3 linked regions of the Daphnia pulex genome follow. The protein of the gene in region 1 binds, or shares a complex with, the protein of each later gene. Links are inferred from orthologs where the notes say so. Each region holds a gene or a part of one and is shown on either strand. Other genes may lie near its edges.

Region 1 (10,014 bases):
ATAACATTTTCTCATTAACAAATAATAATTTGTCCCCATCTGAAAGAATGCTCCATAAAGGACCGCACTGAGTTTCCGCCTGAAATAATTAAGCGTCAACATTAGAACTGCATTTTAATTCAAATGAATTATGATAAATATTTATTGATTTATAAATAAATTTGAATAAAAATAATTTAATAAATAAATTATGAATTATTTGATTTACCTTCACATCTAAATTGGCGCATCGTAGCAACAAAGTAGCGGCAGTCAGACCCTCCGAGACGATAGCTGCTTGCGTTGGCTGAGCAGTTGCTCGTTCCAATGATTTCAAGAGAACAGGAATCAATTCAATGCCTTGAGGCAAGCTTTCCCCGTGCAAAGATGCTGCCATGCAACGTATGTATCCCGTTCTGATTCCAGGTGTTGACGTCTTCAATCCCATTCCTTTCTTGAACATTTCCATCAGCGACTTTGGGATTGTGGCTGCGAAACGATTCGTCCATAGCAAAAGAGCCGAAAGAGCTTGAGTTAAGGTCCCTTCGTGAACTTCCGTGTCCAGAATTTTAACAAAGTGTTCTGCAGCGTCGCAGCTCAATTGGTGAGTGCTGGCGCCGGTGGCACAGTGTTTGCTCAAGTGGCCGATCCCTTCGAGGATGGAGATCTTGTGCGAGGCAAGGGTCAACTTTCCCTCGGAACCCTGCAGGACGCCAAAGTAAAGATTTAAGAGTCCGCGAACCGCTGCTGCCTCGCTGCATTGCTTGGCCAAGGCCTCGGTGGCAATTGATGCTTCCGCTCGGGTAATGTCCTCTTTGGAGTGAAGGCAAGTGACTATAGGTTTGGCCAAATCAGCGGCATATGCGCTCAAATCAATAGAGACGGAGGCAAGCACTTGGCCGACGCATCCTAGGATAATTTCCGGGCTACGAAGCATGCCTTTCAGCAAAGCAGGAAGAAGTAGACTTTTGAAATCTTCGTGTGTAAGTAGTTTCAAAAACGGCTTGCACTGCTCCACAAAGTAGACATCTGGCTTAACTTTAGTGGTGATGGCGATCTTGATGAAGGAATCCAACAACGAGCGTCTCATTGATTGCAATAGCTCAGCATTCTTGTTAGCTTGAACGAAGGTCAGAAGAGCACAGCTGAACACCAAAGACTGGAAAGACGTCTCAAGTTCACACAAAGCTGCCCAATATTGGGCTTCTGATCCAGGAATTTGTTTCCATCCTTGCACCAGTCTAAAGAAAAAGAATCCATTCACTATAATTTTTAGATTTCTCAAACAGTCTTTTAATTCACACCTGTGATTTGCTTTTTCAGACATCTTCTTGGATTTTGAAGCCAAAATACTGGTGTACAAACAAGATTGGGCTTCAACTAACTTTTGGAAAGCAACACCTGTACAATTTGAGGCATCTTTGAATCCATGGACCAGCAATTTACTTGACCAGTCAAAAGCAGCAAGCAGTTCTTTTGCCAGTGTTTCCCTAAACAGAAAAAATTCAATAAACAAGGTAATACAAATAATTTCAATGTTTGCTACTTACGATGACGCAACATTCCTGTAGGCTGTAGAATATGCAGCCAAAGTGGCGGAAAGATGTTGTACTGTTGGTGCATTGTGGTGCTTTAGTAGAACAAGCAAGAAATCTTGAACCAATTTTCTTGAGGAACTCTTGTGGTATCTTGGTAGTGTAAAGACCAAAACTCTACACACTCCTTTAATAACACCCTCACTGACATCTAAAAATAACCCAAGAAAACAAATGTATTACCAGATTAATAACCGAAACATTTTGGCAAAAAACTGCTTTATGGACTACATCTCGAGAACTCGTAAACATGTTTTAAAATTTCCTCTAAAGAATGCCACTTGGGAAGGAATCTGACAGCAGAACAATTGTATTGGATTGTTAAAAGAGCAATTTACTCAAGTCTAGCTTTAGATATCTCGGTAAAAGAGTTATTTATTTACCAGAAGTCGTGTCCGAGAAGGCATCGTTTAGTGCTTTAAATACTTGAAAACGTTCGAGATAGCTGGCTGATTGTACCCTCAAGGGTAAATCTTTCAGCGCTTTCGCTAACTAGAAAACAAATCACCAAAAGACATTGATTATTGAACGCGTAATTTAACAAATTATTATTTATCATAAATGTGGTTTGCTTACCGGTTTGTCATCCATCGTGTGTCGTTTTGGCAGACGAGAGGACAATGCTGCGTTGCCGTCGCATATAAAAAAAAGTCAGTAAAATTGTGAACCCTTCCTTCCCCTTTTTCGATTTTTATTTTTAATTGCTACAGAATTATTGAGTAAAAAAAATGACATACAATTTGATAAGAACAAGTGTTCGAGAAAGAGTTTATTTTTAAAAAATCAGCCACAAGTAAGCAAAGAATAATCCAATATCCGGGAAGGTCACCAATTACTGAAATTACCAAATGAATAGTTAGCAGATGTTTTAGCTTTTTTATGTTGAGAACTGCCGGATTCTTCTCCAGCCGAATCAGCTGGTCTATAAAAAAAAATAATAATAAGCTGCAATGAAACTATTTTATTTAATAGAAAATTAAAGATATACTTGTTGGTGAAAGCTTTAGGGTTGATGTATTTTCCTACACCAGATTGTTTGAAAACCTTAAGCTGGGCTTTAGGGATGGAAGCCTTTGCTTCCTTCAACTGTCTCTCAGCTTCTTCTAGCGCTGCGGCTCTCTCAATCACCAACTAAAATGTAAAAACAAAAGTAAATTTTGCTTCTAAGGTTGAATTGATTTTCTCGGCAACCTTTTCGTCTACTTCGGCATATGGGTCTGTAAATATCTGTGACGACTCAATAATAATCTCTTCTACGGGTCGATCTTTATTGTCAGTACCAATTCGTTCCATAGCGCTCAAAGTTTCCATTCCACCCACGACACGACCGAATATTGTGTGCTTTCCGTCCAGATGTTTACACGAGCGATAGGTGATAAAACTGAAAGAGTAATAATCAAATTGATGCGTAATGTATGCATAGAACTAGATAATTTAAACGTACAACTGAGATTTATTAGTGTTGGTTCCCGAGTTCGCCATCGATAAAATACCCCGACCGGTGTGGGATAGATTCGGCTTAAATTCATCTTCAAATGATCCTCCCCAGCAAGACTCTCCTCCGGTACCAGTTCCAGTGGGATCGCCACCTTGAATCTGGAAAATTTTTGTTAGGAAATCTCTGTAACAGCCCGTGATCACGTTGAGATCTACAGTACCATGAAATGCTTGATAGACCGATGAAACTTGGTGTTGTTGTAGTAGCCTTTTTTGCACAGGTTGACGAAATTTTCACACGTTTTAGGTACCATTTCACAATGTAACTCTAAATTAAGAGGCCCGACATTTGTAACTAGTCTAACATAACCTAAGAAATTAAATTGATGAAATAAAAACAAATTTAGATGGTTTGTGAAGAATTCATTACAAGAAACTACTTTAACCTTTTTTCTTAATGCGCTGATATCGAACGATACTTTCATCGAGAATTGCTGGTTCATGCTTAGTTTCTGGTGCCATCACCGTAGAAGTAAAACCAGCAGCGACAGCCCCGGTGGAATAATGAGCCTGATAGTTTTTTTTTGTTTTATAAACAAGTTATAAAAACGAAAATAATAATAAATAAAAGGGATAAATTTAAAACTTTAACTGAATCAAATTACCGCATTAATGGAATCAGCTACTGCTTTTACAGTTACAGTCTCTTCAGGTGCCTTGTATTCCTGTTCTAATTCTGCCAAAACTCCCTTCGTTTCTGCATTGATGTATTTGAGACGGGCTGCAGGATCGGTTTTGGCCCTTATTAATTCTAGTAGAGAGAATCATATTTATGAAAGCAAATCAATTGGCGTTGTTAAGTCTATAATCAATAAGACAACAAATTACCTTCATTTTCGATTTTTTGGTCATGCGTTACATGATAAAATTTAGCGATGTTAAACTTTTCTAGGTGAGATGGGTCTTGAAGAGTGATAATGTCTTGACGAGCAAATGTTTCATCTGTTAACAACTCTTTCCAGTTTTTGGGCTTCAGATTGAGTTGCTCTACTGCCTCATAGGAGAACACATTTCCAGTAGTTCTGATGGCCACAATGTGGGATTTGTCTGTGAACTGCTTGAACAATACAGGGCAATGGTATGCCCCTTCAGCATTTTTATGATAATTTAACCTCAGAAGGGCTTTGCTTTCCAATGGCTAGAAAAATTAAATTCTCATAAACATGCCTTTCTAGTTCAAGTTTATCGGATGAAGCAAACATGCAATACCCATAAGCAAAACTTACTTTTCCTGTTACTGGATTAGTTTTATACTTTTTCAAGTATGGAACTATAGCAAGAAGGTCGAAAACATTTCCTTCAGTGTCACACAAAGGATTCTCAAAAAGCTGAAGTGACAAGGCACAGTGATCATATGGAAGTCGTCGAAATGAAGCACTGGCACTATTTGGATTAACAGGCTTCTTCCCACCATACAATGTGCTCCACTCTGTACTTGTCAAGTACCTAAATATAAGATAGTAAACTAGTTAGTGTTTTCATACTAAACATATCATTCAAATTGAAATATCTTAGAACTTGCATTTTATCTTTCTGGTGTTGTCGTTTTCCCATTTTCAGATAGTTTTCACGCTTTGATGAAGAAAAACAGTATCAAAGTTCTCTGTGAAATACACAAATTAAAATCGAGCAAACTTTTTTCAGTTTATGGAATAGAACGCCAAACGACTAATAAACCGACTTGTTGTTTTGGCACACTGTCTTGAACGTCGTCTGCTTACCCTTCAAGCTTCAACCGCTCGACTTAAACTTTTAAACTTTTTGTCTTTTTATAACGATTATTGAATTGTTCTACCATTTAAAAAAAAATTTTATGTACGAAAAATAACATCCAACGATCACATCATCAAGAATTTCATTGGCCAAATTAAATGATGAAATATTGGTCGTTGGACGTTCAGCCACTAGGGGGCCAGGATCGACCTTCATAAAAGCCTCAAAATGATTCGAGATAAGATAATTAAGAGGAACCATTCAAAGAAGACGGCTAAGCCTAAGCGATATGAAAGTCAACAATGCATAATAATTGCTAGACTCCACTATAGACTAGGCAGCTGACAGCAAACAAAAGATTAAGTGAATAAATTGGTTCTATGGAAATTTCCCTTTCTGTGTATTTTCACACTCGCATTAAACTCGATGGGTGGGTCGACAGTTAATTTTTTTGTTCTAGCTTTCGCTCGTTTCATTCGCGTTTTTTTTAATTAAACCACCCTCAGATCGAATATTTTAGGTAAAAAAAAAGAATGATTCGAAAGACAAAGAAAAAAAAATAGAAATAATTAATGTGGTAGCATAACAAATTTAAGGAGATTTTGTTTAAAATTGATCTTCTTCCTTGTTCGTTTCCTTATAGTTTGCGTCTCTTGTGTTGAGACCTAAACGAAAATTAACAGAGCGTCCTCGTCGCACGAACAAGTCGAGCTGGAAACCTCGTGAGATTCATCCGGACGTCTGAGCCATTTGCCATGGCACTCGACGTTGGTCAGCGATGTCCAGCGTGTAATTCTACCCGGCACTCCGTGACCACCGCAACGGCCTCCCAAATAGTCACGAGTAGCCTTGTGTTCACATCGAACACAGACGACGCCGCCTAAACCACGAAAAGGAATAAAATAAAATAAATGTATCAAAACACAATTTTTGAAAAATGATATTTCCATCCGGATATTATTATTCCGGAAGTCAATTACCGTCAGTAAGAGAGTTGAACACTTTCTCTTTGTGGCAGGCCTTGGACACTTTGGTCAGCTCGAATGTCACGCAGTAACTGAATAAAGACGGAAGTGTTATTGCAACATGTATGCGCCAATTTTCAACGTCCAATTGAAGAGCAATCATTGGTGTCGAAAATTTCTTAAATTTTGTGGCTTGATTGTTTATAGGTATGTATCCTCACTCGTTGGTGGAACCTTCCGGGTGCTCCTGGGCGAGCTCAGCGTTGCGGAAGCGCAGATTCTTGCGGATGTCGTGGCTGTCGTTCATCCGGCGGCTGGCACCAAACGAAGCCGGTAACAGCATAGCCATTTCTGTCCGTGACGTCCAACAATAGAAAAAACAAAAAAAGTTTAAAATGTTAGTTAAGAAAATGTTGGAACAATAGCCGCGGTAACTATTATATGACAGGTATACTCCATTGACAGAATTTTCCGGTTCATTTGTATTCTTGACCCAAACTTATTATGATTTCCCCCTTATTATTCTCGGCCCGTCTGACACCCACAAGATGGAAGAGGCTATTCATCCCTCCGCATGTTAAATGTTTGCGCGTATTGTTTCCAAACAACCACACGTCAAAAGTTCAAAATGCATGCGTCTAACCACCGAATTTGTGCCTTATGCGTGTTTCAGCTGGAATGCGAGGCTGGAAACACGCCCGTTTGTGTAAAAATGTAAACCTACCCCGGTACCGTATATACAATAATACACCTATAACCTTTGAAATTTATACCTGTGGCGAGCTTGGTAACCCTGTGCGTGTTTCGTGAGTTCTCATTAAATTCATCAACGACCGCGGTCGCCCAGCGCAAACGCAATTTTTTTTTACATATAAGGGCTCGTGTGTGCCTTTACCCTGCCGCACACTTTTTCATGAAGAACTGCGCCCGTCTAATGTGGTAGGGTACCGGGGGGGAACGCGGAAATGTGTTGAAAACGGTTGAAAAGTGGTGATGGATCGAGTTGCCCTCTCCACGTCTAACCCTTTAAATGCTATACATACTAACTACACACGGGATGATGATAATACATTCACGATAAGAAGGAGAAAACGACAGGGCCCCCTCGTAGGAGGCGGCCAGCAGAGACGCGGGAGATCACCATAGAAAAAGTTTTCGGGTCACGCTATGGACCCACCCGCTGGTTACACACAAAGCTGTCAGAATCACCACAACAACAACAAGAATTCGACTTCTTCCAGCTAACAAAAAACAAAACAAAACAAAAAAAGGTTTCCTAGTTAAAAGGAGATGTTAAATAAATTTCGAATTTTATTCGACGGAAATTTATATTGTTCACATCGACGAGAGATAAAGGAATCCTGGGCCTTTTTTTCCCTCCGATCGAGCGATAATATCCAATCGTCGTCGTCTTTTAAAGAGCTTTTCACCGTTGGAGAACACTCGAGAGAGAGAAGCTTCTTTAGACTATAGAAGAAAAGAAATAAAACCTCAAGTTGGAGAAATCGGAAATGATTGTCTTCATCTTGCGCTTCTCCACTCGTTGAATTTGGAAAACGAAAAAAGGGAAATATCTATCCAGACTGCAATTATATTGTCTATTCATCGAATGGACAATACAAGAGCCTACGTGATGGTGTGTATATATACCGTTGTGCTTGGGCTACTTTCGTGATGTATTCCCATAGATTTTTATGACGCATTTGACCTGGTATAGCCTTATATTTTATTTGTATATGAGGGGGTGTGTTCGGTGTCAGTAGGCCAACAGTTTCCCATGTCCGTATGGGGGCCATTGGGGCCTCTATACGTCTGAATGGCCGTTTTGTTGGGTGTTCGACTGCCGAAAAACTTTGCCGACCGTGACCTGATTGAAACGTCGATAACTTTCGCCTCTCGATCGGCATTCTTTGTCGTCTGCTCACGTGCGGCTAACGCAGCGTTCACGCCTATTCACGCAGTCTACCAGACATGAAAGAGAATTGAGAGAGAGAAATGTTGCATTGAAGATGCAGGGATCGTCTTTACACACATTCGTTCACGCATCGCTTTTTCTATTGTGCGGAACATTGGAAACTCGGCCGCTGGTCGAGTGGACATTACGAGTCGGCATCACGGCCGCACGCACCCAACGCGTCGATCACGAATGGTGACGAAAAGAGACTAGAGCTTCTTTTTTAAATAATAATCAAAAATGGCTGTGAATGTAAGAGGCTCATCGTCAGACACAAATCCATATTCTTCTTTTCATTGCCCGCCCACATCACTACTAGACAGCAGCACTTTGGGTGCTGCTGGATCTCTCCGGATGAACGAAGGCCGACAAGGAGGAGCGACATCAGCAGCTCGGCGCATTGTCCTCGCCGTCCAATTATACTGCCGGTCGTCGACTATATAACAAGACTCGCAAGATATCGAATAAAATAGCTATAACAGTTCACATTATCCTCTCAATCTGGATTTCAGCTCTATAGTCGCCACTGCATTTCAATTCCGGCCGGATGTAGAGGCAGCTTGTTTTTCGTGGAAGTCTGATTACAATTAAGAACATCTTCTTTGTGTTTGATTGCGTCTCTACTCTCCTATATTATTAGACGGCCTACGGTCTATAGGTATAGTACTATACCGGATCTTTGATATACATAAGACGGCTGCTGCCGGGTCCGAAGCATTTGTTCCGGGCCCCTGCGATTTATTTTCCTTAACGTGTACATACAGTAGATAGAGCGGGGTAGTGAGGAACTCTCTATAGTGTGTATAAGGTATATAGAGTACTGGTACACTACATCCTCATTCTTCTTCCGCCCAACGCCAGCGCTCGCGTCATTCCGCCCAATTATCTGGCGGGCCGGATCAGAGACGCCCTGTTAGCTCTATCGATCAGCACACACTTGCACGAGATATATATCTGCTATCCGGAGCGATCCGGAGCACGGCTCGTGATGCTCGAGCTGCTGTATGGACGCCGTATGAATCCCCCCCCCCATTCGCCCGTTTTCAACGAACAAACTCCCTACGTATCTACTAATATTAAGAGAGAAGAGATATCGGCGAATATCTCCCAGGCAGTGCGGATGAAGGCGGAATAAAGGCGGAAGAGAGAGAGAGAGAGTGCAAATACATAACAAGGGACATGAAGTGATAGAGAGAGCGTCCCTTGGCAACTGGCACGTCTCGTTCGGGACTCATTCACAGCCTCCTGCCGCACCCCCTGGTGGACGAGAGATCTATCTCAGAGGCTTATAATACACAACACAGACAGTAGATATCTACTGACAACGATAGTAATTGTACAGCGGAATTCATTCCGCTCAACCCTAAGGGTGTAGACTTATTTTATTTAGCACTTCAAAGAAAAAAATTGAAGGCCGTCTAGCCTTCCTCGACCGCGGCACGCCCCCTTTTCCTCAGACTTATTTTTGCTCTGTTACAAGTAACACGCGTATATAGAATGTCTATAGATATCGTCCATCGTTTTGTGAATTTTTCGATGGCCAGTTTTTCGAGCCACGTTGGTTTTTCGAACAACCTAGGCTCGAGTGCGATTAACACACGATCGTGAATTGCGTAGCCGCCTCCATCATCACCAATCATCTTGATTTTCAAGTAAGACCCCGCTCACCCGTCGCTCTTTCTCGTTCGATTCTCGTTACGTTCACCGCTGGTGGACAAGTACAATCTTGACGTTTCTGTTTTTTGGGACCTGAGGGGTTCGGCTTTGTGCCCCCTTTCGACGACCGTTTCGTGGGAGTCAATCAGGTCAGCAGTAGCCGGCGCGACGACAAGAGAGGGTATGCAGAAACGGTTTCTATTGGTATAGCCAGCGACGACGGTTGCTGCTAGGATGATGATGGTTACAGCTATCTATCGTTTCGACCAAGATGGTTTCATTGCGATATACAGAGACTGGCTTATCGTTATGGCGATGGGAGAGACGTTCGTTTTAGTCGCGTAGAACTAGAATTGCGAGACCAACGCATTAGATAATCGTTCCCCCTACCGCAACGAGTACCGGAACAATTTCCTCTCTTGCAGAAAAGACTTCGTTTGCTATCGTACCGATCAGCGATCAAGTGGCCCACGAGGAGCAAGACCACTCTGAGAGGAAGTAGTAGTAGGCTGTTGCCTACCAGAAGATCGAGTAGTTGAAGAAAAGGAGCAGTATGGGCGGAAGCCACATCTTGTGCAACAGCAGCCACAGCTAGTGATTCGGCATTAGTACGGGAGGTAGTGGATCTAGTTCCGGCCCCTATGGAAGACCGAGT
Region 2 (9,890 bases), on another chromosome or scaffold:
TGTAGCAAAGGAAGACTGTGGAGAAGAAAGCGAAAACGGCTGCTGGAGGACTGCAGGAAGCAATGGCAAAACCGATCCACTCGATGATTTCAGCAAAGAAATTGGGTGCAGTCACGTACTCGAACAATCCGCCGACAGGCATTTTGTACCCAGTTTCTCCAGGTTTGCGCAAGTGAATCAGTTGCTGATCTGTTGAAAATAAGTTACAAAACTTTTAACTTCTTCTATTAAGTGCTTTTTTATCAATGTACCTGAATGAATATTGATGGCCATTCCAACACAAAACATGGTGAATCCTGAAAAAACAAAAGGTACATTAATAAAATCTATTTCAAATTTTCCTGTACCCTAAAAATACCTATGATGAACTGAGGAGAAGTTAGCCATTGTTCATCATACAGATAATAGTTTAATAGGTAATGCCCCTGCATGAACCCATTGAAAATGGAAAATGCCATTGCTGAGATGTATGGTATAAAAGGGGTATCTTCATTGCCACGAGCACACAAGGGAAAGATAATACTCCTGAAATAGATATAGTCAACCTCGGTTTATCAAAAAGAACTTGAGTAAACAAGGAATAATTAAGAACTTTTACCTGTTTACGTAATGTATAATAAACCCTATCAAGAGCATTTTATTCACTGTGGAATTCCAAAACGCTGAAGATGTAGTCAGCAATAAAATGACTGGCACTATGAAAGATGGAGATTCTTGAGTTATCCAAGCGATTTTTGCAGGAAGCAGGAAGCCATACTTTGAGCTGCTGTATCGTCCTTTAATGAAAAAATGGTTACTTTGATAATACTCAAAACAAGTTACTAAATTTACCATATGGTGCTGGAAATAAGGCCATACTAACAGCGACACTAAGGGTGTAGAAGAATGAAATCCAGACCATTTGGGAAAACATTTCTGAATCATTGTTTGCACCAAATAAAGGATGCAAATAGCTGGTAATAAATTCATCCCCACAAGAATTTAATTTTTCCAACATCTTGGCGGCCACTTGTTTGCAAAGCTTTGAATCGTCTAACAAAACAGGTTTGAAGAAGTGACGTTGATGTTTACATTTTAGACGATTATCACGTTTTGAACATTGCCACATTTACTAAAATGGCTCTGGCGCAATATTCAAATTATTTTGATTTGTTAATTAATTAATTATTCAGTTGGTTTGTAAGTGCACAATTTGTATTCTAAACCCAAAAATAGAAGAAAAATTACAAAAAATTGAAATCATGTACAATATGGCGATGAGACTAGGATCGGGAACACAAAATAATGCAAATTATGTAACAAGGATTACAGGGAAATTAACCAAACAGAAAAGAAATTACTTTACATAAAATAGTCAATAAAATTTTACAATCATAGTGGTTTTTCTTTCTTTCTCTTCATCACAAAAACTGAAATCAGATAGTTACATAATAATTAAGTATTTGTCGGTTGTTCAGTCACCAATCGATCACCATAAATGTGCAGGAAATCTAAAATGACACCGTTCGTCCAACCAAAGCCAAGCTGAACGTCGTATTCACCACCACCTGCACATCAAAAATTGATAAATTAATAAGGGTATTGAATAAAATTAATTGTGTTGTTCAACTAACCTCCTGGTAGTCCAACAACAGTCACGTCATACTAAACAACCAATGGAAAGGAATTTGTTAAAAAATTGAACCGTTTAAATTAAATCAGAGACTATCTTGGACGTACTTTTTCAAACATGGCGTTGGGCATACTTTGTTGATATGCATCGTAATTGTTAATCAGCCACTTTTGGGCGAGATTAAAGGCCAAGGCTTTGGCTCTGGGGTCACCGGTATTTTCAAGACCGACAACCAACATGTGTTGCAGGGGCGGCCACCCATTAGGGAAATCCCATCTGAAAAACAAGGCAAATATTTGTTTAGGCTTCAGTAGATAAACCGTAGGGTCAATAAGACACTTACTGTTGGCCAGTGTGTTGCATGGATGTCGGAATTCCTCCGGCAAATCTAAAAAGAAAAAATCGAAAAGTCGAGAAAAACGTGAACAAACACATCGATAATAATCAACATCATCATTATTACTTTGTAGATTGACTGTGCTCCAGATAATCCATCACTCTGTGGACAACAGCAGAGTCTACGCCACCGGATGGAGTGGCATCCAAGCAACCGGCCCATAGCGGAGCGATATTCGATGCGTAGAAATATGGTCGTTGCAAATTATTAGTTAAATCGTAGTCTAGCCAGATGCCTTGTTCTTCATTCCACAGCACCTAGAAAAAAGAATCAAAAGTTAATTAATCAATTTAATTGGGTTAAAAATGAATTATTCTAACCGCTTGAATGGCTCTTTTCCACTCGATGTACTTGTCGTGATACATTTGAGCCTTTCTGTCATCTCCGACTTTGCGGAACATTTCCGAAAGCATTCGAGCGTTCATGCAAACAAAGGCATTTAAATCGACCGGCACGACGTTGCGGGTACTAATGTGGCTCAAATTGCCTTCGTTGTGACCTTCGTCTACAATGAACCACCTGGAACTGAAATCCCAACCGGATTCAGCTCCCGATTTCATGTTGATGTAAAAGTCTTGACGATCGATTTCACTCATGTGGGCAGACGAATGAAAGTCCTCACTGGGAATTGATAGAAAAATGTGTTTAACCTCTATTAAAAACGAATTAAATCAAGGAATTCTTACATGTAAGATTCGGGTCGTGGTCCATCCGATTCGACATTAAACCTCGCCAAAGTGTGTCCCTTGACGGAGACTGTCCTGTTGGCCATCCAGAATTGAAATTCCTTTTCCAAGAGATGTAACCGCCCATTAAGAAATTCGACATCCCCAGTGGCGTTGATGTAACGATCCACCATGGGAATCAACATTGGGGGCTGCGACCTCAGCTGATAGTAGATGCGACCGCCATTTGGGACCATGCCGTAAACATCCACCATATGCAGGAAATTATCCAACATTCCCCTCACCTAATAGACAAAATAATCAAAAGTTTTGTCAATATTGATTTAAACTTTTAGAGAAAATTATTTAGACCCAACCGTGTGGTTCATTTGAGAGATGAGAAGACCTTGGACGATCCAGTAAGAATCCCAGTAATAAATTTCACGAAATCTTCCTCCAGGAATGATGAAAGGATGAGGCACATAAATCATCGAGTATAGCTCGGGGCGTTCTTTGACGTCATCTGTTATATAAGAATTACGACAAATGTGTCATTTAAAAAAATGGAAAACTTGTAATAAAATTTGCATTGTACCTTTAATTTGTCGGCCTAGGAATTTCCAGGCTCCATGTAATTCTTTCCCCCAATTTCTCAATTGTGTGTTGTTGATATTTTGAAGGAATGACGGGCTGTCGAGCCAGTCGGAAGGATCCCACGGTTGAAATTCTGATCCTTCACTCTCGAAATGTTGACTGATGAAGATGACGAGATCGTTTTGGGATGGACTATTGTCTGTAAGGTTCATCAGTTGAGTGAAATTGGCTGCAACTAATTCTGGGTCGAAACGTAATTTCTTGTCGACAAAAGTCTTGGAGTCGTGATACAATTTGGCCATCTGAACCGTGTGCAAGAGTGGACCGTGACAGTAAATGGGACTATTGAGAGAAACACGAAAAGATTAATCATTGCCAACACACACAGAAATAGATGAAATTTACCTTGGACATGGCGGAGGAAGAGATTGAACTTGGGCAAGTCCAAAAGTGGCAGAAGAGATGAACAAGCAGAAAAGACGTACGAGTCGCACCATTGTTCAGAATGCACTGGCGAAAAAGGCAAACAAGTCGAACGCAGTTCCTCGGTTTGGCGGACGACAGTCGATGACCTTGACCGTAAAAGACCTCTTTTTTTCACCGTTTTAAATCGAAGGGGGGTTAACAAACGTCAATGACCCTTTTAATTGAGAAAAGAAAGGGTAAATCGACGCCCTTCTTCTTTTTTTACTACCTGTTGTATACGGGGACTTTTTTTAACGCTTGGAGGTAACTTTTAAAACATTTAAATTGCCGGCCTTCTGAATTTGGTAAAAGATTTGAAATGTCGTCGTCGTAATGGAAAATTACAGACTAGAAAGATCGTCTCTTGGGGTTATTCTACTACTAATACAACCTCGAATGGTTGTCCTTTTATAGGGCCAGTGGCTACATGGAGACCTTGAACGAAATGAAATCAATCTTTTTTTAAAAATAAACTACTATTTGGGAAAACAGCCAATCTATTCCAAGTTAAGCAACAAATTGTCGAGTAACCTTAACCCTATTTTTCCTAGAAATGGGAGCAAGACACTTGGTACAAATAAATTTCAGGTCAGGATAAATGTGTTTTGTAATAACATACGGTTGGAATTATGTCACAGCACTGTGTTAGTAGTACCATAGAGGAAGGAGTGAATGACGAAATCAAACCCAACACTCTATGGCAGTACGTAGTTGTTTTGGAATGAACAAATATCGTCGATGCTCGTAAATGCGTAAATATTTTTGTTCTAGAGTTTTATTTTGTCGTCTGCTTGACTCGTCCGATGCAGACATCTAGCGAGTGTCTGGTAGATTACACCGAAGGTTACGATTGGTCAATTTCGGAACCAGCCTACAAAAAAATCAAGGCCCCGGTCGTTCGATTTTATTAAATAAATATACTTGATTGTGTCACATGATTATGTCACTTCAATGGTCTACGTGCATCAGTATCAATATATAGTGACCTCAATTCTTTGATGAAGCCTTACAACTTTGTCAATATGATGCGAGCATCTCCATTGCGTGACGCTACAGGCAGTTACAAAATGAGCCCATGATATCATCTTCTCATCTTCGTGCTCCATTTCCTTTTAATTACGTACTCGGTTACATTTTAATCAAAGTCAAGTAGGCACTAGAGGCAACCGCGGCTGTGGCCTGGCGGCATCAGCGTCAGGCAGGATGAAATCAAATCAGTTGCAGTTGCCTAGTAACATAATTGAATTTTTCCTTCAGACAATTTAATTAAAACGACGAAACATCGCCTTCGCCTAGCGAATTAATTAGATATTTTAATTACACGAAAATTATGCAGAAGCTACGCGTAGTTATAATACCACCGCAGAATGCACGGCAGTTGTCTGATTTGATTTTTCAATGTTCGTCTGCTTGCGTCTCCCCACCTTTTTTGTTGTTTCCATAAAGACATCTTCTGAGCGAAAAGGAAATCCTTGATATTAACGTATTCGTGTGTCATTATGTCGGAAACCAAGCCTGGTGTGTCTTTTGCCTTTAGTTCAAAAAAGAAACATGATAACGTGAAATTAACTCAGTCGAAACTATTGGATACGACTCAAGAAACTCGCGAAGAGACTGATTTCGTCAAAACTGTCGAGCACAACAAAATCAATGGGTATGTTGCTTTTCCCGCCACAAAATATTAATTTTACATTCATTTTCTGCATTATTCTATTTAGATCCATCAAAAAAGCACCCAAAAAGGAACTGGTTATTCCTCTTATAACAAAGAATCGGTGGAGGACCCCTGGCAGTGATACCAAAACCGAGAACACAGAAGCATCAGACTTGGACAAGCAAGCCGAAAAAGAAATCCTGCAAGAAACACTGAAGGCTGTTGATGGCTGGGAGAACAGAGGCAATGGCGTACCCTCCAACATTGATATCCCCCTATTTATGCAAAATCGTGTTCCATCTGGCTTTGAAACAGATGAAAAAGTAGATGTTTCCCTCCGTGCAGATCAGGTACTGAATTTCGCAACTGCACCTTAATTATGTAATTAACTCTTGACATTTCTCTCTAGTCCACACTTGATGATTATGAAGCGATCCCAGTGGAAGCCTATGGAATGGCCATGTTGAGAGGAATGGGTTGGAAAGCCTCAGAGGGTATCGGTCTCTCTAGAAAAGGGTATCATTGCCATATTTCACATTAATTAATGGTTCTGAATTCTCATCAAATTATCTTTTATTCAATCAAGAGTGGCTGCTCCCATGGAGGTGAAACTTAGGCCTAAAGGACTTGGTCTTGGGGCTGACCGTACTGTTTTAGAAAATGCAGCTAAAGCTTTAACAAAGCCAAAAGAAGGCGAAGAAGAGCTCAAAGTGATTATCGGTGCAAATGTACAGTTGCTCAGCGGGAAACATCAAGGTTTATATGGACAAGTAAGTAAAAATTCTATTAAAATCTGCCATTAAATTATAACTAAATTTGTTTCATCAGGTTCTTAGCATGGACGCAAACACTGGTCGTGCTCTGGTGCGGATGGCTGTCGGAAGCAACGAATTGGAAATGAGCGAGCTCTTTCTGAAACCAGTTTCTGCTAAAGAATATCGTGATTCCGCCAGGATTCTGAGTAAATTAAATCTATTTCAAGCCAAATTTCTTCTTGAAATTAATCATCTTTCTTTTAATTCTCAGACAAGGAAAAATACGACGAGTACAAAACGAAACAGGACAAGGAGCGAAACGAGAAGGAAAGAAATGATCGCGAGAGCAGAAAGAAACGGAAGCATAGTCCTAGCCATCGTAAGTAGTGATAGATTGTCCTGTCTAGCTCCTCCTACCCAAGGTCACGCTTTCCTACATTTATCATTGGCGTTCTCGTGCCAGCCGCCCAGCCCGTACCGTCAGAATTTCCCGTTGTTAATTAATCAGTTTGTAATGAAATTCCACTATAATAATTTTTTCCTTTTATTTTAAAAAAGGTAGTCGTCGGAGTGGCAGTCGGGAGCGCCGTGATGAGAAGAAAGAATCTCGTTCTAAAAATCGGTCGTCGAAAGGTTCTGACGAGAAACGAGAACCTTGGCTTCACCCACTCTTGCGAGTCCGCTGCGTCGATTCTTCATTCAAGGACGGCCAATTCTACAAACAGAAAGTAAATAAAAATGTCCTAAAAATAAAAGATGAATTTCTCTCACGCCGATTGGTATGAATTCCAGATGGTTGTGGTGGACGTGATTTCCAAGAATCATTGCATTTGCAAAGCCGAAAACGGGAAACTTTTGGAAAACGTCAACATTTCTAAATTGGAAACTGTCATTCCGCGTAGCGATCCCGCTTACGTCATGGTCGTCAAGGGCAAACGAAAAGGACAGGTTGTTAGCTGAAATTTACACACATGTTGTTTTTGTTAACTTGTTTATTTTTTAATAAAAAGGTCTGCCAAGTGATTGAAAGGGACAAGGAACGATACACGGCCACCGTCCAGATTCTACCGGATCGCGATGAAGTTTTCCAACTAGACTACGACGACATTTGCGAATACACGGGAGATGTGCGCAACTTGTAATCACAAAATAACTCGACTTGGTTTTTAAATAAAAACAAATGTGCTATTCGTGTTTAATTTCATAACGATTTTCACCCTTTTTGTCTTCATTGTTGCACCTCTCACATAATTTGCTACGTGACCCAGACAGCTGTGGCAATCTCTCATTATGCAAATGTTTGCCGAAAGCTCTCTCTCTTATCATTTTAATGATACGTTACGCTAATGCAAATTTTTCAAGTGGAAAAAGAGATGAGAAAGTACAAGGCGCGCCAGTCAGTCTGGCAAGAACTTTGTGTGTTTTCAATGGGATTTATTAAAGTATACACCGGCATCGTAAAAATACACGAGCTATAGGGGGAATACGGTAATGGTACACACCTTTCACGTGCGTGTTCCCCTTTATTTTTGCATCGATATTTTTCGGTACAGAGTACACTGAACCCACACAGCGTAGCTCAATCAATTCACGAGAAAAGCGTATAGGCTACCACCCTACGGGGGACAGTGGGGGGGCTTTTTTTCGCTCGGTCATTTCTCATGACTCCCGCCGAAGTCCGAACGAACGAACGAACGATGAAGGTCTGCTGTGTGCAGACTACGTAACAGCTCAGTAACAGGGCCGCTCTTCAGTTGTTTCCTTACTCTCGCAGCTGATTGGTCGTTGCCTTGTTACTGCGAGACTTATCACGCCATACAACAACAAAAAAACATATAACGCTAAGCTACATATACCCCTTTCGCTTGTCGTCGTGCTCGTGGTCACTGTGTCAATTCTCTATACATGTTATTCCCATTTAATAATATTTTCAACTCGAGGTTTTGATCGGGGAAATCTATACGCACTCGCTTCAGTTGGATGGAAATGCTATCTGGTGATCGCTCGTAAGAACTCTTGTTGCTATATAGACTTATTATTGCCAACATATGTCTTCTTTCTGCGTCGAACACGTTTCTCAACTTGTCCAACTCCTCTTGACAGGTGTGGGTCATGATTCTCGCTACTCATTCTAAGATGGCTGAAGAAATTGAAGAGTGGAGCAGCAGGTTACGTTTCACAGGTGCATGTCAGACGGGAAATGAAACCCCAAATGAACTTGATCTTTCTCACAATCTGGACGAGTCTTCTGACCTGCCCTTCGAAGGCATCAAGCAGAAACGCAGGATGTTGGAGAAGAGAGTTTCTTTCCCTTCTGACGAGACCCAGTTGGTCCAGAACCTAGAGCCCACAGTTCCTGACGTTCCAGGTATATTGAGGCTTTTATGTATTGTAACTTTCCAGATAATAAATTTGTTTAAAATTATTTCAGAATGTATCCTTACCGAAGAAGAAAGTGATATCAACATTGTTGCTGCATACACCTCTTCGTGCAAGAAGAACGAGGCTGAACCTGTTGAGCACATTATTGAGCAGTTAAAGGTCATTGGGTACAAACCCATAAAATGGGGAAAAATATATGCTAATTTATTCCCTTTTTGGAAGTTAGACTTTGGACTTGAGTCGTCCACGCTCGGCCAGCCTCACGTTGCGAGGACGCAACTTGAATTCCCATGACTGTGAATCGTTGGAGGATGTTTTGAAAAATGTTCCTCTGAAACTCTTGGATATTGGAGATGCCCACTCCAGTGATGATGTAAGTCCCGTCACATGGCCTGAAAAATGTTTAATTCATATGCTGTAATATTCTCCCATCATCAGGGTCTGATTGCATTGTTCGACATGATCGAATTTTACGAAGCAGCCACCCATGTGAGCATCGCCTCCAACAAGAACATGACCAGCAGGGGCTGGCAAGCGTGCTGTCGCATGATCAAAAGGGTGTGGTTATTGTTTTTCCTGTGCAATCTTTTTTAACCCATGACTCACGTTTGTTATTGTGTCGTACATATAGACCGAGTGTTTGGAATGGCTGGACGCAGCTCAAGTTGGGCTATCGGAACACAGCTCAACTTTACTGGCCAGGGCACTGAGATCCAACTCTCGCCTAAGGGTTTTGTACTTGAACGATTGTGGTCTCACCGGAAGGTCGCTTGCCATCATCGGTATTGTTTACTAAAATTTTTAAATATAAACCAACAAAACACAATAACAAGTTGTTGTTACTCAACAGCAAGTTCATTGAAAATGAACCGGAATCTTCGTGAGCTGCACCTGGCCGAAAACAAATTAACGCCTTTCGACGCCTTACAGCTTGGTATTTTGTTGACTGGAAATTCGTCACTTCAGCACGTAGACTTGAGGTGAATCAAATTTAATTAAACAACAAAATTTTGATAATAATTTTGGGGTTTTATATTAGGAACAACGAAATTTTAGATAAAGGAATGGGTTACATTTGCGATGCTCTGTTGGATAATGTTGGACTGATCTCGCTTGTCGTCTGGAACAACGGTATCACTCACGAATCGTCTCCCGCTCTCGCCAAAGTTTTGGTACATTTTAAATTACAACATTAAACAACTTTCACGATAATTAAACAGCTTTATTATTTTTAAACAGGCAACTAACCAGACTCTGCAAACACTTAATTTGGGTCATAATAAATTAGGCGACGAAGGAATTATTGGACTCATTCCATCTGGATTGGAGCGCAACCGTTGGCTTTTGCATTTGGGACTCCAGGAGA
Region 3 (9,906 bases), about 4.9 Mb from region 1:
TTATGGCAGTATTCCAGACCACCCACCATCTTTATTCATTCTTTCACAATACCATCAGACTTTTTGGCCTCGTGATAAAAATAATGCAACGACTCGGAAACATTGCAGCAAAACCCCCCCACACACACCTTATTCATCTTTATTCCTCGAGGGGGGAGCGGAGGGATGCTGCGAGGGATTCATTTTCAGACAAATTCGATTTCCCAGTCCAAATCCAACAGACACAATAATCCCAAATATTTATTGGAGCAGTGACACACTCTTCTGATTCAACCCTGTCATTGACTCGAGAAGCAAAAGACCTTATGTTTAATTCTATACAAGAAATGTCTTTATATAATAATAATAATCCGCCTCCTGGTAATAACACCTTTGTTTCTAAATATCTTGCCGGGTTATTCATCAGAACTGGTTGTCAACCGCGACTATTACTCGTGAGAAAAGCCCACCCAAATCTCTGTGACTCTTTTTTTCAAATGAAAGAATAATGACGTTATATGTTTCGTGTAATTTAGACGTTAAATACAAAGGCTAGCAATTATTTTATTCAAAACTTTTGGGAAAAGACATCCTTTTAACACTAAAATGGGTGCCCTACTTTCCGATTGAAAAAGAAACCTTTTTTTTTTCTTTTTCGGTCGGCTCCAATAGATTATGCCACGAATCCAATAAAGACATGGACGAAGGAATTTCCTTTGCTGCTGACCGTTTGTATCTGAACTAGACCATCACCTCATGAGTTGGAAAGCGTGTTCGGTGCTTCACTCAATCACTGCTGAATAATAAGACTCTCGAAAATGGATTCCAAGAACCAATCGGGAAGCTACGGTACTATACTCTATAGAGTCTGCGACTCGGTGTCGAGACTCGAGCGTAGGAACGTATAATGTATTCAATCTTGAACGTCCTTCATGGTAGTGCCTAAAAATCTTTACCTCATGAAGGTGCCCTTGTCACTGTAAGTTGTTTGCTCTGCGCGTATCTTGCGCACTTATATATACGTCAGATTTAGGTCACCTCCCCCCAAACTTCTAATGTAATTTAAGGGTAGATTACTTACAAAAGTAATTACGGTTTCGTCTCGCTCAAAAACACCCGGATCACTCATTTTTAATAATGCTACTAACTACACTTAATTTACGCTCAACTGAGTTGGCTTCGGGTTTTGGGAACTTTAAAAAGTTACCCCTAGCTTTGACATGACTTGAGCTGTTGCTGGTTATCTTTATCACTTGTCAGATGCATACAGTCGCTCTACCTAGAAGCTAGATGCGTCAGGACAGGAGAACTTTAGTAAATTGTGTTTTGTACGTGGGATGTTTTACAGACTTTGCCAAAATTAGTAAAAAAAAAAAAAATAAATAAAATCCGATTTACCTTAGATCACAAACATTTAATATGAATTAGAGATGCGGAAAAAAAACCAAACCGTAAACATTTTGGAAAAGAAATAGAAAAAAAGACTGTATATTTATCGGCCCCAAAAGATCACAAGATGGCAAATAACACTGATAAAACCTGAAGGTGATGGGCACGCACCTTTTCAATATGCATGTTATCACTAAAAAATGATGCATCACGGATTTTTTTTTTTCAAGATTCATTTCAGTGGTGTGGTCAATTTCAATGGTCACCCAACTCCGCCCGTGATTTGCCCTTATTTTTAGGCATCTTGCGAGTAGTTGTGTCTTCCAGGTCCTTGGCTTTGTAGTAGTGCGGAGCCACTTCCAGAAGCCAACTGTTCTCAATCTGAATAACTTGCCTCATGTACTCTTTAGTAGTAAATACAAGTTCGTGATAGATGAGCCAACGAGGAAGTTCCTCAAACATTGAGCTGTTTGGGTGGATGAGCACAGTTTGATTGTGTTTGACTGTCTTGTATCCGCCCGTCTTGGACAGGCGCGATGTGTTGTAGAAGAATCCAGCCGTAACTGCCTTGCCGATAGCCACTAAATCTTCTTTATTAGAAACCATGTCAATTTCAACTCGTTCCACAAGGCCGACAAGCTGTTCTCTGACGTCCCTTGCGCGTCTCATTGATCGATGCTGGATGAAGTTTTCAAAGCACCATTGCGTCGAGAAATCCGTGTCAACCCATTGGTTGTAAACGTTGAGTAAGGTAAAATGGTCGCCACCCGGTGAAAAGAAATTCTTTCGAGCCGTGTCGGCATGGATTGCTTTATCTTTGGGTCGATAGAAGACTGCACTGTTGACTGAGAGCATGGCTGCAATGGTGACGATCTCTTCCGAACATTTGTACTTTTCGGATGCCAGGAGCATTTTCGCCATCATAGGATCAACGGGGAATTCAGCCATCCGCCTGCCCAGCTTGGTCAATTCGCCCATGTGGTTCAGGGCTCCTAGAGCGTAGAGTTGTTCCAGTGCCAAAGCCAAAGTCTCGTGCGGAGGCGGATCCAAAAAGTCGAAGTGAATCAAATCGTTGATTCCAAGTGATTTGAGAAGCAGAACGACGTTGCCTAAATTAACTCGCTGAATTTCTGGCACAGTGTTCTCTTCAAGCTCGTGCTTGTAGGCCCATGCTGTGTATAGGCGGAAACATTTGCCAGCTGCTACACGTCCAGCACGTCCAGCTCGTTGATTCGCCGACGCTTTCGAAATAGGAACGACAACAAGGGATTCCATGCCAGTTCGGGCATTATAGGAATTTTGCTTGCAAAAGCCTGGGTCAATGACGAAGATAATGTTGTCAATAGTCAAAGACGTTTCTGCGATATTCGTAGCCAGAATGCATTTCCGTGCTCCGGGAGGCGTTGGCTCGAAAATTTTTGCCTGGCAAGAGAAAATGAAAAGATATGAAAAGGATAAACTTTGAATAAGCAAAAACGAACCTGCATGTCTGACGGTAAATTTGCGTAGATAGGAAGAATAAGCAACTCTTTGATCCTGGTGCCCAATCTTCGAGTACGTTCCGTCAGACTCTCCAGTGCCGTTTCAATTTCTTCTTGACCAGTAAGAAAGACAAGAATGTCACCCGAGTCTTGTGTGACGTGAATCTGTAGAATAGTGACAACGCAAGCATCGATATAATCAGCCTCAGGAGCTTTGGTGTAAAAAATTTCGACTGGGAATCTTCGACCGGGAATCCTAAATATAGGAGCTTCGTCGAAGAAATCGGAAAACTTTTCAGCGTCCAATGTAGCACTGGAAATTAGCAGCTTCAGGTCAGGTCGAAACCGTGCAATATCCTGAAAGAATTTATAGGAAATTATTCAACAATTTAAGAGTTGTTGTGTAAGGACGGCTCACCTTGATCAGCCCAAAAAGAATATCGGTATGGAGTGTTCGCTCGTGGGCTTCGTCAATAATCATGACACTATAGCTCTGCAAATCGGGCTCAGAGAGAAATTCACGCAGCAACATACCGTCAGTCATGTACTTGATAACAGTCCTCTCTGACGTGCAATCTTCAAATCGAATGCTGTAGCCTACTTCGTTACCGAGTTTCTTGCCCATTTCCTGTAAACGGAATCGCACAAAATAAGATCCTTGTCAAGATTACAATTCTTGATTGAATTCTACCTGGGCGACACGAGCAGCAACACTCATGGCTGCAACTCGACGTGGTTGGGTACAACCGACTTTCTTGCCATCTTTACAGTATCCCGCTTCGTACAGATACTGGGGAATTTGCGTCGTTTTTCCTGATCCAGTCTCTCCTTCCACGATCAGGATCTGATGGTCTTCGACGGCTTGGAGTAAGTCTTCGCGAAACGGAAATATTGGAAGCGATTTCCTCGTATCCTGAAGAGACATTTTCTTTTTCTGGATGTCGCTTACCTCAGGTTGTTCTAATATAGTTAAAACGAAAAAAAAAGGTGGAGGGATAAGATTATTAAACATTTATTCAGAAGGTTTTAGGTGTGTTACTTTACCTTCGATACCCTTGGTTCCTGCAAGTTGGTTTGTTTGGATAAAGTCAATGGTGTCATCCAATAAGAGGTCATAATCATGAACTTTTCCCTTCTCCTGAAGACGCTGTTTTGCATCTCTGGCACCGAAATTCCACTGAGCAGTGGCCATGCGAGCATCTTCCCAAACTTTTTGTTCGGAATGAGGTTGCTTTTCACGGTCATCTATCTCGACGTACCTATCAGGCATTGCTTTGTCCCGCTTATCATCGGGCATATGGTATCGTTGAACCAATTCCAATTCTCGTGCTTTGTCATGTTCTTTCGCAAGACTGAGAATTTTTTTCTTGTATTCGCGATCCTTTCGTTCACGCTCCGTGAGTTGTTGCTCATCGAACAAGTACTCATCGTCGAAAATATCTGCTTCCAATTCATTAATCTTGTCTCCTTTTCGCTTCTCCAAATATTTTCGACGTGATTCCACTCTGAGTTTGGGAATAACGCTGGCTTTGTCTTCAGCCTCCATTTGAAGCCTCTTTGCAGCTTCAGCAAAACCTAGATAATTTAAACATTTTATTTTAATAGTTATTACAAATATTAAATAGTAAATATACCTTTTCCCACAGTAACCACATTCCTCTGTTTATCTTTATCTTTGAGTTTAAGACGTTCAGAGAACTCATCTCTTTCCTTCAAATCTTTGACTCGTTGTTTTTCATCTTCATCTTCACTGCTTGAATCAGACTTCTTCTTTTCCTTCTTGATCTTTTTATTTACTGGTGGTGGAGGTGGTGCCATTCCTTCTTCATCGCTGTCTTCTATCAGCTTATATCTCTTGTTTTTTTCGATCATTGCTAACATGGCTTGTTCTTGTTGCTTGGCGGCAATTCTTTCAACATTTACTTTAGGGGCAGCTCTCGGAATCTTTCCCCATAACTCTGATAGAAAACTCATCACTTTTGCATTTGTCACATCGATAGTGTCTGTGAAACGAACTTTTTCGATAAGTTCATTCACTGAAGAACTTTTATGAGCCAGGGATGTCAAAAACTGAGAAGTATAGCGGTCACTGAAGTCCAATATCTCGATTAACTGATCGCTAACCCACGTTTCTAAACTCATTTTTAAATGTTTATTAGAAACGAATTTGTAAACAAGGCATTAATAACGTTGAGTCCGTCTGAACTTGCCGGACAAGCAAAAAAGCTACAAGATCTTCCACGGCAAACGAAGCAGACTAACTTGTGGAGTCAAGCCTAGCGGTCAAACAACACAGTCTTCACCAGTGAACTGATACTGATCCGATTCCGTGTCGTTAAAAAACGGATTTTTTGAGGGTTGTAGAACGGATTGGTTTCCGTTCTCTTACGCTAGAGTCGCATGAAGGCAATAACGTTATGCCTACCCTCTAGCGCCTCTAGCTGATTCATAATCGGATTCGTTTCAGTTAACCGATTTTTGACAAATCAACGCGTTTTTCAAATCAGTGAGCGGACCCGTTTCCGTTCACAGATTCGTTTCAGTTTATTATCAACTTGTTTTTTATAATAAGAAGCCGAAACCTTTCCATTATTTGAACGGCTTCGTTTCCGTTTCCATATCACGTTTTTAGTAAACAAATAACTATTTGCTTATTAGAATATTAACCGATTTTAATTGTGTTATTGAAAAGCAAAACAAACAAAATGTCGTCGGACAAGAATTAAGTGATCTGTTGAGAGATGCAAAAGGAGTGAAACAGGTTTGTTGTTAAAAATTTGACAGCTTATTTGTAGCCAACGATTTGATTCTCACAGAGCTTCTAAGTTATTAACTATTGTTGAGGAAAGAATTTAAATTTCTAATCTTAATCTTGTTTAATTTCTATTCCTACAACTATTTCTTTGTCTAGCAAAAACTGAGAAAGTTAATTTCGTCAGCACAGCAGCACCCAGTGACCCAGAAGGAAGGGATTGTTTTGATATCAAAACAATTCAACCTTCCTGCAGTAAACTGAAGCCTGACAAGATTCATTTAAGAGGCTGATGGAAACAGAAATATTGTGTTAGAGACTTCTGTACCAAATCCATATGGAATTCACCTTTACAACCTGCTTGAATAAGACGTTGAACAGAAGAACCTCATCTAGTCTCGTCATCACTCTCATCTGTGTTGGTAATTTAATGATCAAATTTATAAGTGACAACACTTCTGTAACCAGATCCCTTCCCTCAGGCTGCAGAGCTAAAGTTGGAATGTCTGTTGTTCAATCTCCAACGTGAAAGACCAGTCATTGGAGATTCTTTGAATTCAGACAATGTTCGAGTCAGAACTCATAGATATCCTTTACCAGCAGCACTACTACAGATTATTGCAACGAAACAAAAGGCTGAAACAACTAAAGGGAATCTAATCGTATTTCTTTTTATCTTACTCTAATGATGCATTGTTTAAACTATTTGTGATTCTGATTCAGGTGGACCGGCCTCAGAATTATTGCTCATTGATTGGGCTGAAAGGATTGAATGGCAAGGCATACCAAGCACTTCGAATACTTTGATTTCATTAGGCCTACTTTCAATTTAAACTTTCATTTCATGTAAATTTTCAAAAGATGTTGAATAAATTGTGTATTGAATTATATTGCTATATTTTCGCGTCTAAAAGCTCGGACATCCATACATCCATATATACAAACACGATAAATGAATTAACGCATGCCTCCGACTCTACAATCGTTTCTTTAATATAGGCTCATAAAAATAAGCATACCGTTTACCATAACGAATATCTTATCAAGCTATATAAGAAATATGTGTATGGATTCCACCGTATTAGTTTCTTTTCATGTATGTGATGTCCAACATTCAAATCTCCCACCATTAAAAATGGCCTTCAGCTGCTAGAAGCTGATTGGGCGTTTATTAAATTGATATTTCTATAATTTTTATAACAGGTATAATTGATAATGATGCATCAGTAGATGCACTAGTTCACGACGATTCTTAAAATCTAATTATTTTGCTTAAATGGTAAAGATAAATGCCCGTACGAGCATGCCAAAGTTTCGTTGTTTTGACTCATCTTCCCTTCCCCTAAATTTTATCAAAAATTTAAAACATTAATTGCGACCTAATTATACGTCGAAACTTAATAAATCTTACAGAAATGGATAGCTCTCGTCAAGATCTATCCATTTCTGTAAAATTTGAAATGAACAAATTCAACACGAAAAATTTTCAAAAGAGTTTCTACTTTTTCGTTTTTGCGGTTCGGCGCAATACTCGACCTATCCGAAAAAACGAAAAAGTAGAAACCCTTTCAAAATTTTTTTGTGTTGGATTTTTTCACTTTAAATTTTACAGAAATCGATAGATCTCGACAAGAGCTATCCATTTCTGTAAGATTTACCAACTTTCGACTCATAATTAAGTCGCAGTTAAATTTTTAAATTTTTGATAAAATTTGGGGGAAGGGAAGATGAGTCAAAACCACGAAACTTTGGCATGCTCGTACGGGCATTTATCTTTACGTTTTAAGCAAAATAATTAGATTTTAAGAATCTTCATGAATCGGTGCATCTAGTGATGCATAATTATCAATTATATTCGTTATATTTATTATAGAAAATAACAAAAATGAAACGCCCAATCAGCTTCTAGCAGCTGAAGGCCATTTTTAATGGTGGGAAATTTGAGTGTTGGACAGTACATCCACGAAAATAAAACTTATGATGGAATCTACACATATTTTATAGCTTCATGTTATATTTGTTATGGTAATAGTAGGATTGTTATGAGCCTAATTGAAAGCAACGATTGTAGCATGATTGTATAGCTGTAGGCAGCATGCATGAGTTAATTAACTTGCCGTGTTTGTATGGAGGACCGAGCTTTTAGGCAAGAGAATAAAGGATATGTGAAGACAGTTTTGATTCGATACACAATTTATTCTATACATCATCTTTTAAAATTACACGAAAGTTTCAATTAAAAGTAATATAAACCAAAGTATGAATTTGAAGTGTTTGATGTAAGTTGCAAGCCCAGTCAATTATATCATGTGAGACATAATTCTGGAGCCTGTGCCTGTCCACCTGATTTCACAAACACTTAAAAGAATGAGCAATTTGAATAAGATAAAAGAAATATGAATAGATTATCTGTTTAGTTGTTTCAGCCTTTTGTTTCGTTGCAATAATCTGTAGTAGTGCTGCTGGTAAAGGATATCTATGAGTTCTGACTCGAACATTGTCTGAATTCAAAGAATCTCCAATGACTGGTCTTTCACGTTGGAGATTGAACAACAGACATTCCAACTTTAGCTCTGCAGCCTGAGGGAAGGGATCTGGTTACAGAAGTGTTGTCACTTATAAATTTGATCATTAAATTACCAACACAGATGAGAGTGATGACGAGACTAGATGAGGTTCTTCTGTTCAACGTCTTATTCAAGTAGGTTGTAAAGGTGAATTCCATATGGATTTGGTACAGAAGTCTCTAACACAATATTTCTGTTTCCATCAGCCTCTTAAATGAATCTTGTCAGGCTTCAGTTTACTGCAGGAAGGTTGAATTGTTTTGATATCAAAACAATCCCTTCCTTCTGGGTCACTGGGTGCTGCTGTGCTGACGAAATTAACTTTCTCAGTTTTTGCTAGACAAAGAAATAGTTGTAGGAATAGAAATTAAACAAGATTAAGATTAGAAATTTAAATTCTTTCCTCAACAATAGTTAATAACTTAGAAGCTCTGTGAGAATCAAATCGTTGGCTACAAATAAGCTGTCAAATTTTTAACAACAAACCTGTTTCACTCCTTTTGCATCTCTCAACAGATCACTTAATTCTTGTCCGACGACATTTTGTTTGTTTTGCTTTTCAATAACACAATTAAAATCGGTTAATATTCTAATAAGCAAATAGTTATTTGTTTACTAAAAACGTGATATGGAAACGGAAACGAAGCCGTTCAAATAATGGAAAGGTTTCGGCTTCTTATTATAAAAAACAAGTTGATAATAAACTGAAACGAATCTGTGAACGGAAACGGGTCCGCTCACTGATTTGAAAAACGCGTTGATTTGTCAAAAATCGGTTAACTGAAACGAATCCGATTATGAATCAGCTAGAGGCGCTAGAGGGTAGGCATAACGTTATTGCCTTCATGCGACTCTAGCGTAAGAGAACGGAAACCAATCCGTTCTACGGCCCTCAAAAAATCCGTTTTTTAACGACACGGAATCGGATCAGTATCAGTTCACTGGTGAAGACTGTGTTGGGTCAAATGGATTTTTAAAAAAGCCGAAAAAGGAATTATGTTATTTTAATGATTTAATCTTACAAAAAAAAATTTTAAATCCAAAAAATCTTGTAAAATATTTTCAAATGTTTATTCGTAAATTATTTTACTTCCAAGTAGGCCTACATTTGGACAATGACAATCACAAAAAAATTAGTTTTTACCGTGTTAACCAGGTGACGCTTTCATCATTTGAACAATTTTGAATTTCGTCGCCATTGACAACCGCCAGCCAAAGTCAAACACAAACATGTCTACAGAAGAAGATCCAGAACTTCGAGATCTTATTGCAAAAACTCTCGAAAATAATGGTGTTCTTGGAAAATTAAGAGTATAATACATATTAGACTTTTTTTTAATTTGATTTCTAATCCATTATTTTATTAAGGCTCAGTTACGGGCAAGCACATTTCTGGCATTAGATCAACAAGAAGATCCTAAGGTATCCCAGAGTAGTTACTTTTGAAATCGTTTAGTCATAATAAAGTCAATATATTTTATGTTAGGTCACTTTTCCAAACAGCAATGTGGCTGTCCAGCAATTTGCTTCATCAAAGAATGGAGCTGTCACAATGTCCCTTGTACGAGATTTCCTTACATCATTCAACATGCAGTTTACACTAGCAGTGTTTGATCCTGAAACATGTGAAGGTGTTTCTTATAAAAACATGTCTCGTTCAAATTTGGCGTCAGAGCTAGGATTGGAAAATGTGAATCCTGATGTTCCTCTTTTACATGCATTGGTTGCAAATTCTATA

What was found.
Region 2: RING-type E3 ubiquitin-protein ligase PPIL2-like (region 1) and G-patch domain and KOW motifs-containing protein-like share a complex: the UniProt entries of both Homo sapiens proteins name them as parts of the minor spliceosome. The link is inferred for Daphnia pulex from reciprocal best matches to the Homo sapiens genes PPIL2 and GPKOW.
Region 3: RING-type E3 ubiquitin-protein ligase PPIL2-like (region 1) and pre-mRNA-splicing factor ATP-dependent RNA helicase DHX16-like share a complex: the UniProt entries of both Homo sapiens proteins name them as parts of the minor spliceosome. The link is inferred for Daphnia pulex from reciprocal best matches to the Homo sapiens genes PPIL2 and DHX16.

Annotation. Positions count from the first base shown.
Region 1 is NC_060022.1:777,783-787,796, reverse strand, and holds RING-type E3 ubiquitin-protein ligase PPIL2-like, read right to left. Parts: upstream 4,808-10,014; 5' UTR 4,626-4,807; coding exon 4,594-4,625; intron 4,518-4,593; coding exon 4,298-4,517; intron 4,210-4,297; coding exon 3,900-4,209; intron 3,823-3,899; coding exon 3,677-3,822; intron 3,582-3,676; coding exon 3,458-3,581; intron 3,382-3,457; coding exon 3,233-3,381; intron 3,171-3,232; coding exon 3,019-3,170; intron 2,956-3,018; coding exon 2,766-2,955; intron 2,706-2,765; coding exon 2,563-2,705; intron 2,497-2,562; coding exon 2,400-2,496; 3' UTR 2,329-2,399; downstream 1-2,328. Other genes in the region: eIF-2-alpha kinase activator GCN1-like, read right to left, coding at 1-79, 209-1,220, 1,284-1,469, 1,530-1,725, 1,958-2,066, 2,151-2,165; somatomedin-B and thrombospondin type-1 domain-containing protein-like, read right to left, coding at 5,450-5,664, 5,765-5,841, 5,971-6,100. UniProt on the Homo sapiens protein: Has a ubiquitin-protein ligase activity acting as an E3 ubiquitin protein ligase or as an ubiquitin-ubiquitin ligase promoting elongation of ubiquitin chains on substrates.
Region 2 is NC_060019.1:135,283-145,172, reverse strand, and holds G-patch domain and KOW motifs-containing protein-like, read left to right. Parts: upstream 1-5,135; 5' UTR 5,136-5,232; coding exon 5,233-5,387; intron 5,388-5,451; coding exon 5,452-5,737; intron 5,738-5,796; coding exon 5,797-5,903; intron 5,904-5,973; coding exon 5,974-6,157; intron 6,158-6,215; coding exon 6,216-6,348; intron 6,349-6,413; coding exon 6,414-6,521; intron 6,522-6,700; coding exon 6,701-6,870; intron 6,871-6,934; coding exon 6,935-7,090; intron 7,091-7,152; coding exon 7,153-7,284; 3' UTR 7,285-7,342; downstream 7,343-9,890. Other genes in the region: 3-oxo-5-alpha-steroid 4-dehydrogenase 1-like, read right to left, coding at 1-189, 252-296, 359-525, 599-776, 832-997; trehalase-like, read right to left, coding at 1,435-1,547, 1,614-1,644, 1,720-1,888, 1,956-2,000, 2,076-2,266, 2,330-2,630, 2,696-2,979, 3,052-3,197 and 2 more; protein phosphatase 1 regulatory subunit 37-like, read left to right, coding at 8,255-8,510, 8,574-8,683, 8,751-8,897, 8,963-9,082, 9,156-9,306, 9,375-9,504, 9,564-9,696, 9,764-9,890. UniProt on the Homo sapiens protein: RNA-binding protein involved in pre-mRNA splicing. As a component of the minor spliceosome, involved in the splicing of U12-type introns in pre-mRNAs.
Region 3 is NC_060022.1:5,689,791-5,699,696, forward strand, and holds pre-mRNA-splicing factor ATP-dependent RNA helicase DHX16-like, read right to left. Parts: upstream 5,142-9,906; 5' UTR 4,992-5,141; coding exon 4,484-4,991; intron 4,425-4,483; coding exon 3,894-4,424; intron 3,810-3,893; coding exon 3,541-3,809; intron 3,478-3,540; coding exon 3,268-3,477; intron 3,207-3,267; coding exon 2,850-3,206; intron 2,791-2,849; coding exon 1,624-2,790; 3' UTR 1,452-1,623; downstream 1-1,451. Other genes in the region: centrosomal protein 43-like, read left to right, coding at 9,399-9,479, 9,537-9,590, 9,655-9,906. UniProt on the Homo sapiens protein: Required for pre-mRNA splicing as a component of the spliceosome. Contributes to pre-mRNA splicing after spliceosome formation and prior to the first transesterification reaction.